Linked DNA regions of Bombyx mori. The main gene of each other region encodes a partner of the protein of the gene in region 2 in a complex. Links are inferred from orthologs where the notes say so. Each region holds a gene or a part of one and is shown on either strand. Other genes may lie near its edges. The genes, in order: chromatin modification-related protein MEAF6 and peregrin.

Region 1 (7,546 bases), on a different chromosome or scaffold from region 2:
AGCACATTTGTGGAAAACAGAATCAAAATAATAATGAGTTGCTAGCCATAGAAGACCAGCATAAAAGTCTTATTAAAATCTGTTCAGTAATTTTTGAATGAAGAGTGAAAATACTTACAAAACTTCCTATTTATAAGTAAGGATTACTTATTTAATTAAAGAGTTTTGTAGGTGGCAAACTATCTAAAAACTTTCTATTTTCCACCAAGTTGACATCAATTATCCTTCCTGCATATATATTTATTGTATTGTTTTTTTTATAGTCTAACAAGGGGTGATATTACATTTGCAATTTCTGGGAGTTTGTTGAAAAATATATTGCTTGCTTGACTTACAGATAAATCGAAATCATCAGCCAATTGAGAGAATGTTCTATTTAATGTTATTCTCATCAGACATAATATAATATTTTGTTCAGAAACATTTGTATGTTTCTCAATCAAGCCTATTATGAAACATAATTCTTGTGGAAGACCAATATATAAACGTTGTTTATTTTTCACTTTAGATAAAGTTGTTAACACATTCATTTTTTCAACTTTTTAGTCTTCTTGAGAGCTATAGTCTGAAGTGCACAAGTCTTTGATGGAGTGGAGATATAGAGAGATAACTCATAGTCAACAGTTGATCCTTCTGTTGCTGGTGCATTTGACTCATCACTGTCAAATTTGTCCTCAGGAACAACAGTTTTTTTTTTGCTGGTTCTGATTGTTTACTTATACTTGCTTCAGATATATTAAGGGGTGATGTGGCAATACACACTTGCCTTGCCTTTGTGTTCCTGTGCTGGAGCTACTTGGATAGCTTTGTCATTACTACACCTATTTTCAAGTGGCTGGACATCTGGAAATATGAAATAATGTTAGCAATTTCCAACAAACGTATAGTTTGTAAATATATAGGATTATATGTGTACTGTCGTAGTAGTAGTAGTAGTATTTAACTTCCTAGTCATCATCATCAGCCCATATAATATATCCCCTTGCTGGACACTGGCCTTCACTACCATTGAGAGGGTTTTTAGGCCTTAGTCCACCACGCTGGCCTAGTGCTGGTTGGTGGATTACACACCTAAGAAAATCCTAAGAACATTTAGGTGTGCAGGTTTCATCACAATGTTTTCCTTCACTGTTAAAGTAAGTAAGTGATATTACACTGTGATAAATTTTCATTTTCACAAACTTCCTAGTACCTTATGTAATAGGAACTGAGATCCACTTGCCCATTTTGGCTACTTCCACTAACTAACTAACTATTCTCATTTTTTCTGATATTGTTATTTGATTAGGAGATCTGTGAGTGTAACTAATTATTGACAGTTACACCTACCTTGACTACAAGATGGCAAAGGTATAATAATACGACACATCTCATTTTTAGTCGTCTCTTCAATTTCCTTGATAATAGTGAGTCTTTGCCGTTTCACAAATGCAGGCCGAGGTTCACTATGATTGAATTTTCGTTTTCTATCTGCCCGACAATCGAATTTGGATGGTAAACAGTTTGGTTTCATTCGAATTCATTTGATGGAGCTCATTATCTTGTATTGCATATAATTCTCCATGTAGTTTTCCAGCTAAAACATGAAATAATTTTCCAACAATTTCAATACATAACCTATAAAAAAAATATTAAAATGTTATTTTACTAATGTTAGGAATATAATTTCGACTGTGTCAAAATGTTATTATAATGTATACCTACATTATCTCTTGAAAGATAAATAATGAACATATTTACTTATTTGTTTATATTACCTATGTGAACTCTTAACCTATCTTTTTTATACCTTCATAGCGATAGGTATATAGGAGGATGGAAAAAATGTATTTGGTCTAACTTTACGCGAATGCACATTATTTTATTTATTTTGTTTTTAATTTTTTTAATTAAACTGTATACCAATTAATTGATCCTTCAGGATTTATAATTGTTTTTTTTTCACGATTAAAACCGCGTAGAAAGTTTAGGCATTATAGTCACTGAGCAAGTAATCACTACGTTGACGCATGCGCCATAGATTATACACTTATGGCATGCGCAGTACACATATTTTGTATACATTTATTCAACTAATACAATTAATTAAACAAAAAATGAGTAATTTCGAAAGAGAACAAACGTATTTTATATAAGAACAATCGAAAATGAATATTTACGAGTAATTAAGGACGAAAAAATATTAAAAATTGCAATCGAGGGGCTAACTTTTAGATATATTTTTAATAATTTTTTTTAAATAAATAAATGGGGAACAAACAATTATTGACAATGAACAATCAAGAACAAATGATGAACAAACGAATTAATAGAAAATAAGTAGAAAACAGGAAAAAAAAATTTTTTTGAGGGGCTAACTTCATTCACCTCCATGGAGTACTTATTATATATCTACTTTTTTTTTATTTTATGACCTGGTAACAGAGACCTTTAGGTCATATCTTATTTGAAAAATGTGCATTACTTTGGGGTCACTACACTTCACTTCAATAAATTTTGTCATTTACATTATTTGAATTATATTTTTCATATAATTATAAATAGGTTTATCGGATGTTGGATCTTTTAGTAAAAAGTGGCGGCGGGCGAGAGGAAGAAACACATTTAATGCATTGGTATCCTCACTAGCCAGCACAAGTCTGAAATATGAAACTTTGGCAATCGAAAATAATGTGATGGATCGTCCCTTCCTTTGCTTGACAGTGTAAACATTGGTTGTTTGAAACAATGCCAAGTCCTGCTAGGTGTGACGGCGCAGTATTATGGCCAAAACTCAATCTGTTTATTGTTGTAATGAAATCTCGACTCTCACTAGTTTTCAATTTGTCATTCTTTTTGTATGGCAATTAACTTTATACGAAGCCTTTGTTTACAGTCTCGAAGTATTAAAAATCTTCAATCATTACATACTCTCATATAGATTCTGAAATTTGAAAAATGAAATGAAGCGAAATTAGATGAAGTTGATTTCTTTTAGACTTTAACCAATTGGGATGAAATCAAATGAAACCGGATGAAATAAAGTCACGGTAAAATGGAGGTTATTTACCGAGACTTTGTGAATTTTCTGGAAGAACCGAGAAGCTACGTTCAGCGGCTTTGTTTCATTTTTCCACATCTATGCACTTTCACAGATATTAAACAATTAATAAACCACCGTTATTACATATTTAAACCCAAAGAAACACTAAATAGACAAAATAAAACAAATCACACAACTTCACTTCCCGCCAAAAAGACGTTTAAGTAATACCGTACTTGTGTGCCTTTACACAGATATTTTTTCTCTTAGTTTTATCCTCGAAAAAGTCCACTAAAAAATCTCAGTGAACGACCACCATTTTACTGAGATTATATTTCATCCCATATCATCTCATCTCATTTCATTTAATTTCATCCCAGTTAATTAATGTCTCAAATCAATCAACTCCATTTTATTTTATTTCACTCCATATTATCATTTTTCATAAAAATAAGAATATAAATTAAAATAAGACATGATCTTAAGGTCTGAGTTACCAGGTCAGAAAATCCCATAAAAAAATTGAGTATACAAATTACAATAATCTGTGGAAGACAAGGCTTTATGTGCTTAGATCCCTTGCCTTTCTTAAAAGGAAAAATTGATTAAAATTGTATCAAAAAAATCTGTGGAATTTAAGGCAACAATTGCTAGAATAATAATTTGCGTTTTTGGAAATAAGTGGCACATTTCTGTTCAGAAAAAATACGCCTGTCTTAAGTGATCTGTTATGGAATTATAAAACACAAGTAACAACAATCATCAGCATGGTTATTTCACCACAAAGCCCCATTGATGACGCTCAAAGTGTGCAAACCAAAAGAACCAACATGGCTACTAAACAATCTTCAGTAGCCGATACTAGAGCTGAACTAGCTGAATTGGTCAAACGGAAAGCTGAAGTAGCTGTAAGTAGACATAATGACAGTCCTTTTGAGCATTTAATCTACCCTTCCTAATGAAAATGTTTACAGGAAACTTTAGCGAACTTGGAACGTCAGATTTATGCATTTGAGGGATCATATCTGGAAGATACTCAATTGTATGGAAATATAATTAGAGGATGGGATAGATACCTCACAACGAACAAAAGCACTAATTCCAAAGCTGACAAACGTAACAGAAAGTTCAAAGAAGCAGAAAGATTGTTTTCTAAATCTAGTATTACGTCTATGGCTGTAAGTTAATCTTTAAGTGAATTATTCTGTTTTATAACGTCTTAAAATACGATAACATAAATCCATTAAATTATTTCAGGCTGTTAGTGGACTTGTAGATGCTGCTGAAGCTAAAAGTAAGGATATTGAAACTGAAAATAATCAACTCACGACCGAAATATATTTTATTTTTTATAACAATTCCTTATTTCAGATGAAAGAAATAGTGAAACTGAATCGCAAACTAATGAAGACTCTTCAGACACACAGATTAGTTCAAATCTCAATCTTGGAGGTCTTAACCATACGACAATTCATGGTTCCACTGAAAGCATTGCTTCTAAGCCATCTGGGAAACAAAATACTAATGGAACATTAGATAAAACATTAACTAGTGCTCAAACAAAACAAACAGCTACACAAAAAATAGCTACTGCATCTGGCATGCTCCAGAAGGCATTTAGTAGTGAAAGTAAAATATTATCAGGAATGGGACTTGATAGTCGACCTGGCACACCAAAAGAAAAGGAATCTAATGTAAACATTATTAATAAAGTTGATTTAACACCAAACTCACTAAAACACAAAATGTCTAGTAGCGGAAGCAGTAGTAGCGGCAGCATCAAAAAGAACAACAAGAAAGCTAGGCACAGGTGAACATTATGCACTCTATCATGTTAATGGCAGATTTTAGTAGGTGCTAGTCTGAAGATTTATGCTGGGTGTAAGGAAACCATTCCCATACTGAAATATTAATATGATACAAATACAGTACATACATAAACATAGTGCAGATATTTAAACTTAATGCGAACAGTATATTGACTCTTCAAAAGCAAACGTGACTAAGCGACAATAACTGCTTTATACTTAAATGATAGGCAATAACCATATTCAATGCGCAAAAAAAAAATTACTTCTAGGTCTATTATAATCATTTCAATCATACAGCTAGATTTGTTAAAATATATTTTTTTTCAGGTATTTCAACTTTAAATTAGTCTACTGTAAAGTTCATGCATTGTCGCTTAGTCACGTTTGCCTTTCAAGTGTTGATATATTCTAATTCTGCATTAAAAATTCGAAAAAAACATAACTTTACCATTTGTCCCATATATCATTATTAAGTTATATATTATAAATGAGTCGTCTATTATCAAAGGCGGCAATCTGTACATTTGGACAAAATTTTTTTATTGATATGTCAATACAGATTTATTTGAATATAATCGTCTCCTTCAAAGAATACGGTTCAAAACCTGCATTAAATAAAGGTTAATAGTTAACCTGTTATTTATCTAAGATGTCGTTCCGAAGAGTTTTGTGACTGCCAATGGAATACAAAGTCAATAATTCGTTTTTCTGATTTACCAATCATTGTCCAAAAGTCAGATTGCCGCCTTTGATAATAGTCGACTCAAATGTCATTTAATGTTACTAAGAGCAATGTTGTAAAGTGTAATTTAATGTTTTTTGTAATAGTTCTCAACACTCCTTGTAGCAATGAAACAATATGTATTCTTTTTAACTAATGTTATTGTATAAAAATAAATAATGAATTGTTGATTTACATAAAAATATTGTGACCTAATTGATACCATTAACTGTTCTTAATATCCTTTGTTTGAATCTTGATTCTGAAATTATGTTTTGTTTGTATTAGTAAAATTATACCAAACAGGACATGATAAATAGATATTAAATGAGAAACTGATACATACGCTTTAAAATATTAGGTAAGTCCTTAATTGGTCCACAATATTTCACCATAATATAATACAAAACTGGTAAGCATGCAATAATTCCAGAACAACACAAAAATATTATTTCTGGAGACTTTCTCAATTTACAACAGTTTAGGCTTTTGCTCCATATTGATCTAGTTGCATTCATCTGAAATGATAAGGTAAATCATTATATTTTTAGTTTATTTTTTTGAAGTTGAGTCTTTATATGAGAAATCTCAGTATTCTCTATCAAATCTAATATTTTATTGCATAAATGTGTTAGCAAGCTCGTATTATAACCAGTAACAATAGATATCACAATGTGCACGCTGGCACCTGGCAAATGTGAGGCTTTTGTATTGTGATTGTATGATATAATTATTGTCCTATCCTTCCAAAACACAACACATTACTGCTCCTTGCCAGAAACAGGCACGGTGCTTGTAGTAGGCACTGTAGGTTTTGCATGTTCCCAAAAACTTTACCACTATTTATATTTCTTATTACTATTACTCCATCATAAAAAATGGAAATTGGCCTTTGATGTCAACTATGGCATAGTTTGTTGCATTCATGTGAGTAAATTGGCTGACAATAATTGGTGTTCATTATGACTTATATTTTATGTAAGAAAAAATATTATGCATTATAGACATCTATTTGCATTTGCAAGTAAATTAAAAGAATTACTTGATTACTTCATTGTTACAATTAGTGTACTTACAGAATCAATAACATCCATGCATATAATATCCAGCCCTATTCTGTCAAAACTAAGAGATTCATAATAGTTATTCAGCTGTATGTAGCTCTGCATACAGTTCTCACACACTTTTGTACTATTCTCTTTGGGATTTATATTGTCTTCAATACATTGCATTGTTTCATTAAAAATTTGATAAAAATGGTAAGTTTTATTTGAAATTTCTGGTTTATCTTTAGTCCAGTTAAAACAATCTAAAATGATAAAATAAACATAAACAGACATGTATCTCATGCATTGCATTTAAGGAACCTTACTAGATAGCTCTCACTCTACTTTTATTCAGATACTTATAAAAGAAATAAAAAACAAAAGCATTAAAAGTTTTCACCGGGTAACATAAAATAAGGAAATGTATTTACAAAAAAAAATTGGAAAATCTTTACGTTGGCACAAACAAAATAGTGTCAACCATCTCCACAAGAATGACTTGCTTGAACTTGCAAGTTTTTTAATATACAGAATATATACGTACCATTACAATTTCCTTTGTTCCAAATAGCTAATATGTTATCATGATAATTCAAAACCACCTCTAATCTATCATGAGAAATAAAGATGGTTTCACATGAAGTTCCATTTAAATTGGTTTGAAGTAAATTTTTATAGCTCTCACGAAATTTTACATAATGATCAATACATTTTTCACATAGTCTTATCGGTCTCGCATGTTTGATTGAGCATTTTGTAAAATTAGATGCAGAATCCGCAAATTCATCAAGTAATTTCGTACAAATACTAGGATTCGCAAACAAATACCCCTCACCATTGTATTTTCTGAAAATTATTATTCATGTTACTCGGGCAAACGATAACTATGAAAATTTCCACCCCTAAACATACAATTTATAGCTTGTTACAGGCAATTCCTTTCCAT
Region 2 (6,872 bases):
GACACAGCCCACTGAGTTTCTCGGTGGATCTTCTCAGTGGGTCGCGTTTCCGATCCGATGGTAGATTTTGCGAAGCACTGCTCCTGCTAGGGTTAGTGTTAGCAACGATGTCAGGTTTGAGCCCAGTCAGCTCACCTACTTGTTAGGGTTACGCTGAAATAGCCTCTCAAGGCTATCAGCTTAGGTAGGAAAAAAAAAGATTTCGAAGTCAATTACTTATTTTTACATATTTTTTAATTTACTGACAACCCTACTCATACTTGATCGTGCTTCCTTGTGATGTGCACCACGTTAGTAAAATGGAAAATATTCTTAGTAATAACAATAAGAATATCGATAAAGATTTTTACGTTTCGTTACCTAGAGTACGATCGCTGTCGGTGCTGGCGGCGCGGGACCGCGCGGCGAGGTGGCGGAGTCCCGCGGCCGCCACGTCGCGGCGCGCCTGACGGAATACCGGCGCGCATTGCTCGCGCATCTTCACACCGGCCCTGGAAACAAAAGCGCGATCGTTTTAAAATTACTATCCGTTTACACCAACCAGTCTTTCCCAAAGTGGGCGATAACGCCCCTGTTGCGTCTATTTCTTAAGAGGTCTCTTGAGGTGGCCAAGAAAATGAATAAATGCGTTTAACTTCTTCAAATACTCATTATATTATTTTTAATTATTTTACAAAATAGAATTGACATGCGCGTCCATCTTTTTTCTTCGTGTATTTTTTTTTTTAATTTTGACAATTGGTGCCTCTATTGCGTTTCCTGATTTGTGATTGGTTCGTGCGATATGACGTCATCGTTAGCCAATCACAGCCATCAATGTTTTTTTTTTTTTTTTTATGATTGAAAGTTTACTGGTGGCCCGAAGGCCTTTCCAGTTTCACCAGGACAGGTGGGCGAGCAAAGGCTCAGCCAAGAGGGGTGGGATTTGCTAACAACTGCCCGAGCGCCTCCGAAGGAGACCTAACAACTCAAGAGCAATTGTTTCGCGAATGAATCTACTACCGGATCGGAATCGCGACCCGCTGAGAAGATCCGGCGAGAAACTCAGCGGGCTGATGCATGGGTTAGGTTGCACGTCGACCTCTTTGTCGAGTTCGACGAGTACGGTTACCGGGGTCCCTAAGCCTGCCCCTAGTATTAGAGCTGAAGGCATCTAATGCAAAGGTTATTGGATCTGATGGATCCGTAAGGACGTGTCTAGGGCGTCGACGGTGACTGGCTCCTGCATGATCAGGATTCGGGGAGTAGTCAGCGGCGGCAACGATAAGGCGATTATCATGACGCATAGCAGCCATCAATGTATGACGCGACGTTGATTCGTTAACAGCCCCCTTGTGGGCGCCGCAGGCCTAAGGGGGGGCGGTAAGAGACCCAAAAAAATGGGGGCGTTGTTTAGAGGCTTGGAAAGCTACTTGTTATTTTATATTTATATATTTGAAAAAATGGAGGCGCTAAAAAAATAATTTATTCTCAAAGTGGGCAGTAGACAAAATAAGTTTGGGAGCCCCTGGTTTACACAGTACATGACATCGATCTTCAATTTTTATTGCATTTACAGTTCACTATTTTGGCGATGATGGCTTATACATAAAATATAGATATATGCTGTCGCGAGCTTTTTGTAGAACTATTTAAGATAAACATTTCCATAGTATACATCTAACTCCAACGGTTTTTGCGGCGCACACCAGAATAGTTCGCAAATGGCTGATTTTTTTTTCCTACTTACTGACACTTATCGTTATTTTTTTGGGTAATTCACACTATATCTTTATAAATTATAACCTGTGTGTTATTCTGGTGTGTAAGTTATATTATTGTATGGTTTCCTCAAAATCCATTCAGTAGTTTTTGCGTGAACGAGTAACAAAGATACATCCATACATTCTTACAAACTTGCACGTTTATAATATTAGTAGGATAATTGTAAATTGCCCCAAGTTAGTCATCTACTATTTAGAGCAGTTTAAAATTTCTTTATGAATCACGTGACACATTTTTTTATAATTCGATTTCCAACGCTTGAGGCCTGTGTCACTAAAATTGCATGAATACTCTTCGGAGCACTACCATCATGGTTTTTTAAAAATCTAATCCAGTTTATACGACGCGAATTTACTATAATCGTTAAAGTCAAAGTCGTTTGAAGTCGTAGTGGCCTATAGGATAAGACGTCCGTTGCATTCTTTTTTAATAAATAAATAATAAATAAATAAATATTTACTAACAATCACGCCACGTTAACCGGCCCCGTGATAAGTTCGTAAAGACTTGTGTTACAGGTACCAGATAACGGAAATAAATGTAAGATTTTTATTATACACATATGTACATATATTTAATATACATCCATAACCCTGGAAAAGACATTTATATTTATCATACAAATATCTTCCCTTGGCGGGATTCGAACCCGCGACCCCCTTGTGTAGTGACCATGTCACTTACCACTACACCAGACGGCCGTTAAATTCGTCGTTGAGCGATGCACTGGTGTTCGATTCCCAGGCGGATACCAATTTTTCTAATGAAATACGTTCTCAACAAATGTTCACGATTGACTTCCACGGTGAAGGAATAACATCGCGTTATAAAAATCAAACCCGCAAAATTATAATTTGCGTAATTACTGGTGGTAGGACCTCTTGTGAGTCTGCGCGGGTAGGTACCACCAGGTTTGAAGGGTGGGGCAGCCGTTGTAACTATACTTAAGACCTTTAGGACTTACATCTCAAGGTGGGTGGCGCATTTATGTTGTAGACGCCTATGGGCTCCAGTAACCACTTAACATCAGGAGGGCTGTGAGCTCATCCACCCATCTAAGCAATAAAAAAAGTCAGTTTAGCATATCTGGTTAGTATAGCGGCTCACTTGTAAAACACTGTATCTTTATTGTTATACGCGAGACAATTGTCTATCATCAGTTTGAAGTCGTCTTCGATGTCATCAATGTTCTTGTAAGCGCCGCGGTCCAGCTTCTTCTCCATCGTGCTCAGGTCCATGGGGTGTTTCACTATTGTACTGTAGTCTGGTACCTATGCAAAAACGATCTTTATGTTAACTCAGTTTAAGACGCATATTCGTTAAACAACTCATTTAGGGTATTTTATTTAAAAAAAAAAAACTTTCTTTTATGAAATTCTGTTACATTAATACTTATATGAAGACACTGTCCTACCACCAGTAAGAATTTCCTCCTCCTTCTCCTATACTTGAGACCTTAGAACTTATATCTCAAGGTGGGTGGCGCATTTACGTCGTAGATGTCTATGGGCTCCAGTAACCAATTAACACCAGGTGAGCTATGAGCTTGTCCACCCACTTAAGAAATAAATAACTTAACTAAAATAGTACTTAACCCTTGTCTTTATATATTTTCTATATATATATTTTCTAAATTTCTTTTTTCTATACTATACTACATAACTTGAACTATCAATTCAGGGCAACCTCGACATATGTGCGAATCAATGTAATGCAAATAAAATTAATAAAACGATAATAATGGCTTGAACGCAAATTCTTAGTGCGTATACAAAATTCAAAATCGGTATGCTCTTATTAACTTTGTACCCTATTTTCTAAAAAATTCCAAGGGTCAACATTTCGAAGGAATATATATATGGGCGTGCCCTGATAGCCTTATCACGACGAACCGGTAGGCAGCGGCTTGGCTCTGGCCCTGGCATTGCTGAAGTCCATGGGCGACGGTAACCACTCAACATCAGGTGGGCCGTTTGCCCGTCTGCCTACTAGGGCAATAAAAAAAAATAAAAAAAGACCCAGGCACAAGTTACCTCTTGCAAGTCGACCGGCTCCGTGAATATATCGCTGGAGTCCTTCTGGCGCAACAAGCGCAGCAGCTTGTGGAGCACGGCCCGCTCGGGTCGCAGCGAGTGAAGGAAGCAGCGCTCCCACACGCGGGTGTACTCCGCCTTCAGACGCTCGCGTTTACGTACCAGCTCACACAGCAATCTATGCAAAACATTACCGACTCTATGTTACTGTTACATAGACAATCTATCTAAGGACTTTTGGCGGGAACGCGAGGAGTGAAATTGTGTGATTTGTTTTATTTTTAGCCGACTTCAAAAAAGAAGGAGGTTCTCAATTTGACTGTACGTTTTTTTTTATTTTATGTTTGTTATCTCATAACTTTTGACTGGGTGAATTGATTTTGATGATACCTCTGTGGGAATATTAAATTTATCTTTTATCTTTATAATGATTGCATCCGTTTATTGGTTTTCAATTATGGAGATGTTAACCGAATTTCAGACGTTAACGCAGCCTCCATTCGATCCGGAACGCATAGGTGTGTCACGATAAAAATCAACGAAATAGTGGTACCACTACCACACAAAAACAGACGTGGCGGATTTGGTTTTTATTCCACGCTGTTATTGCTTAATTAAAAATTTTTAGTCCCGTCATGTTTGAATCAATCGATACGAACGCTTCAAATAATTTGAATTAGTTATTTTTTTTTTATTATTATTATTGTCAAGCTCTCGAAAATGTATGTAACCAATAAAAGTTAAAATAAAACCCTTAAAAATCACCTTGCGCGTTCCAAATCTTGTCGTATTCTCTGCCAATACTTCAACTGATTACACAGCTCTCGTACATTGACAGCTGCGTCTTGTATGCCTCTACTGCCTGTAAATAATAATAGAATTTAAAAAAAAATAGGCTAGTCATATTGGTTCAAAAACTGAAGAAATACAACGTGGTATAAATCTATATAAGTATTTATAGGTTTATTGATCATAGGTTTATTGATCTTATTGGTTTGTTTATCTTTTTTGGGTTGCAAAAGCATAAGATTGTGATGAAAAATTTTGCAATTGTCTCAAGGTACTATAACTAACGCGAGAGTAGTCTTGAGAGATCCATAGCTAGCCACAGCGAAGCGTAAAGTGGTTTAGCTGGTCTATACTAATATTATAAAGCTGAAGAGTTTGTTTGTTTGAACGCGCTAATCTCAGGAACTATTGGTCCGATTTGAAAAATTCTTTCAGTGTTAGATAGCCCATTTATCGAGGACGGCTATAGACTATATACCATCATGCTAAGACCAATACAAGCGGAGCACCAATAAAGAATATTTCAAAATCGGGTTTTTTTCCCTTTTGAAAGTATCCGCCGCGTGCGCTGCAGAAAAGGTTAAAGTTTTGCTAAAATAATGTATGACAGAATTGTTCCCCTTAAAAAGGTCTAAAAAAAGTCCGCCATAGCATACCTATGTCTATATGTTAAGGTTGGCTGACTAAAATGTTTTTTATGCTAACCAAATTTGTTCTAAAATAAAGCATTATTTGTGAGCTATTCCACGCGGACAAAGTCGCGGGTAAAAGCTAGTACATATATAAATATATGAAAACTCACCATGATTGGTCGTCAAGCTCTGCAGTCTCCTCAACAGCGGCACACCGTTCCTGCTGTGCCGTTTCAGGGTCCAGTAAGCGAGGAGTCGCTTCATGAGCTGGGCCCTGGCGGCGGGCGGACCCTGGGCCAACTGGGCCACGTCCGCCACGCGCTCGGCCGGCAAAGTCGGTACTAACACGACCGGGGCCCAAGTTCGTTTCATTGCTAACACGCGACGTGCCTACGGTTAAAATTATAAACATTAGTTTTTACTGATGGTAGGACCTCTTGTGAGTCCGCACGGGTAGGTACCACCACCCTGCCTATTTCTACTGAATTTCTATTGGAGCAGTATTGCGTTTCGGTTTGAAGGGTGGGGCAGCCATTGCAAGTATACTGCGACCTTAGAGCTTATATCTCAAGGTTGGTGGCGCATTTTACGTTGTAGATGTCTATGGGCTCCAGTAACCACTTAACACCAGGTGGGCTGTGAGCTCGTCCACCCATCTAAGCAATACAAGCAAAAGCAGCAATACAAGCAATACAAGCAAAGCAAAAGCAAAATAAGCAAATACAATTCAAATGGTTCAAGTCATTGAGGATTCGGTCAATGAAAGTAAAATAAATGAAGGAAATCTTGGTTATTATGTACATGATAATTTTTTTACTAGTGGTTAGGACCTTTTGTGAGTCCGCGCGGGTAGGTACCACCACCCTGCTTATTTCTGCCGTGAAGCAGTAATCCGTTTCGGCTTAAAGAGTGGGGCAGCCGATGTAACTATACTGAGATCTTAGAACTTATATCTCAAGGTGGGTGGCGCATTTACGTTGTAGATGTATGGACTCCAGTAACCGCTTAACACCAGGTAGGCTGTGAGCTCGTCCACCCATCTAAGCAATAAGAAATCTATACTAATATATAAATCTACAGTGGTTTTTACGGATGTTCCGTTATAACTATTGAACCATACATCCGATTGACTTGAAACTTAGTATCCATGTAGAAAATACATGTACTTAATGGATAAGCTAATATTTACACGAGTGTTGGACTCCCTACATCGGTTGCGGGGGCGTTAATGATCGAGAATCTTTGTGGGGGTGAGAAATAATAATGTTAATTTTAAATGCCCAGCGAAGCGGACGGGTACAGCCAGTACAATAAATAAAAAGAACCTGTTTGATTTTATCCCGTCCTTTCTGTCTCACTGCATTGAGGTCGTTGCATTTAGAATCGTTGTCCGAGTCCCTGGCTCGTCTCTCTTGTAGGACATGCGCCGGAGTGTGCGCGTCGCAGTACGCCATTTTCGCTACCTGAACCGGCTGGCTTGGGTCCCGGCCAGATCCGGCCGCTTCCATTTTCATATAAAGTCTGGGGATGTTTTTAGAGACATTTTTATGAATTTCATTTGCGATGTCATCACGGCCTAAAGGTTAAGGCGCCTTGTGAATTCGTATCGAACGATGCGACTGTGTCGATGTTCGAAACTCACAGACCCGGTACC

What was found.
Region 1: peregrin (region 2) and chromatin modification-related protein MEAF6 share a complex: the UniProt entries of both Drosophila melanogaster proteins name them as parts of the enok complex. The link is inferred for Bombyx mori from reciprocal best matches to the Drosophila melanogaster genes Br140 and Eaf6.

What each region holds. Positions count from the first base shown.
Region 1 is NC_085128.1:6,602,356-6,609,901, forward strand, and holds chromatin modification-related protein MEAF6, read left to right. Parts: upstream 1-3,591; 5' UTR 3,592-3,789; coding exon 3,790-3,930; intron 3,931-3,996; coding exon 3,997-4,200; intron 4,201-4,279; coding exon 4,280-4,316; intron 4,317-4,393; coding exon 4,394-4,836; 3' UTR 4,837-5,766; coding exon of another isoform or gene 5,767-5,816; 3' UTR 5,817-5,900; coding exon of another isoform or gene 5,901-6,072; 3' UTR 6,073-6,630; downstream 6,631-7,546. Other genes in the region: osteopetrosis-associated transmembrane protein 1, read right to left, coding at 5,767-5,816, 5,901-6,072, 6,631-6,863, 7,145-7,446, 7,513-7,546. UniProt on the Drosophila melanogaster protein: Component of the Enok complex which has a histone H3 acetyltransferase activity. Might be involved in transcriptional activation of selected genes.
Region 2 is NC_085122.1:5,169,112-5,175,983, forward strand, and holds part of peregrin, read right to left. Parts: intron 6,740-6,872; coding exon 6,544-6,739; intron 5,609-6,543; coding exon 5,389-5,608; intron 4,660-5,388; coding exon 4,563-4,659; intron 3,976-4,562; coding exon 3,798-3,975; intron 3,036-3,797; coding exon 2,872-3,035; intron 492-2,871; coding exon 361-491; intron 1-360. UniProt on the Drosophila melanogaster protein: Scaffold subunit of the histone acetyltransferase (HAT) Enok complex which has histone H3 acetyltransferase activity.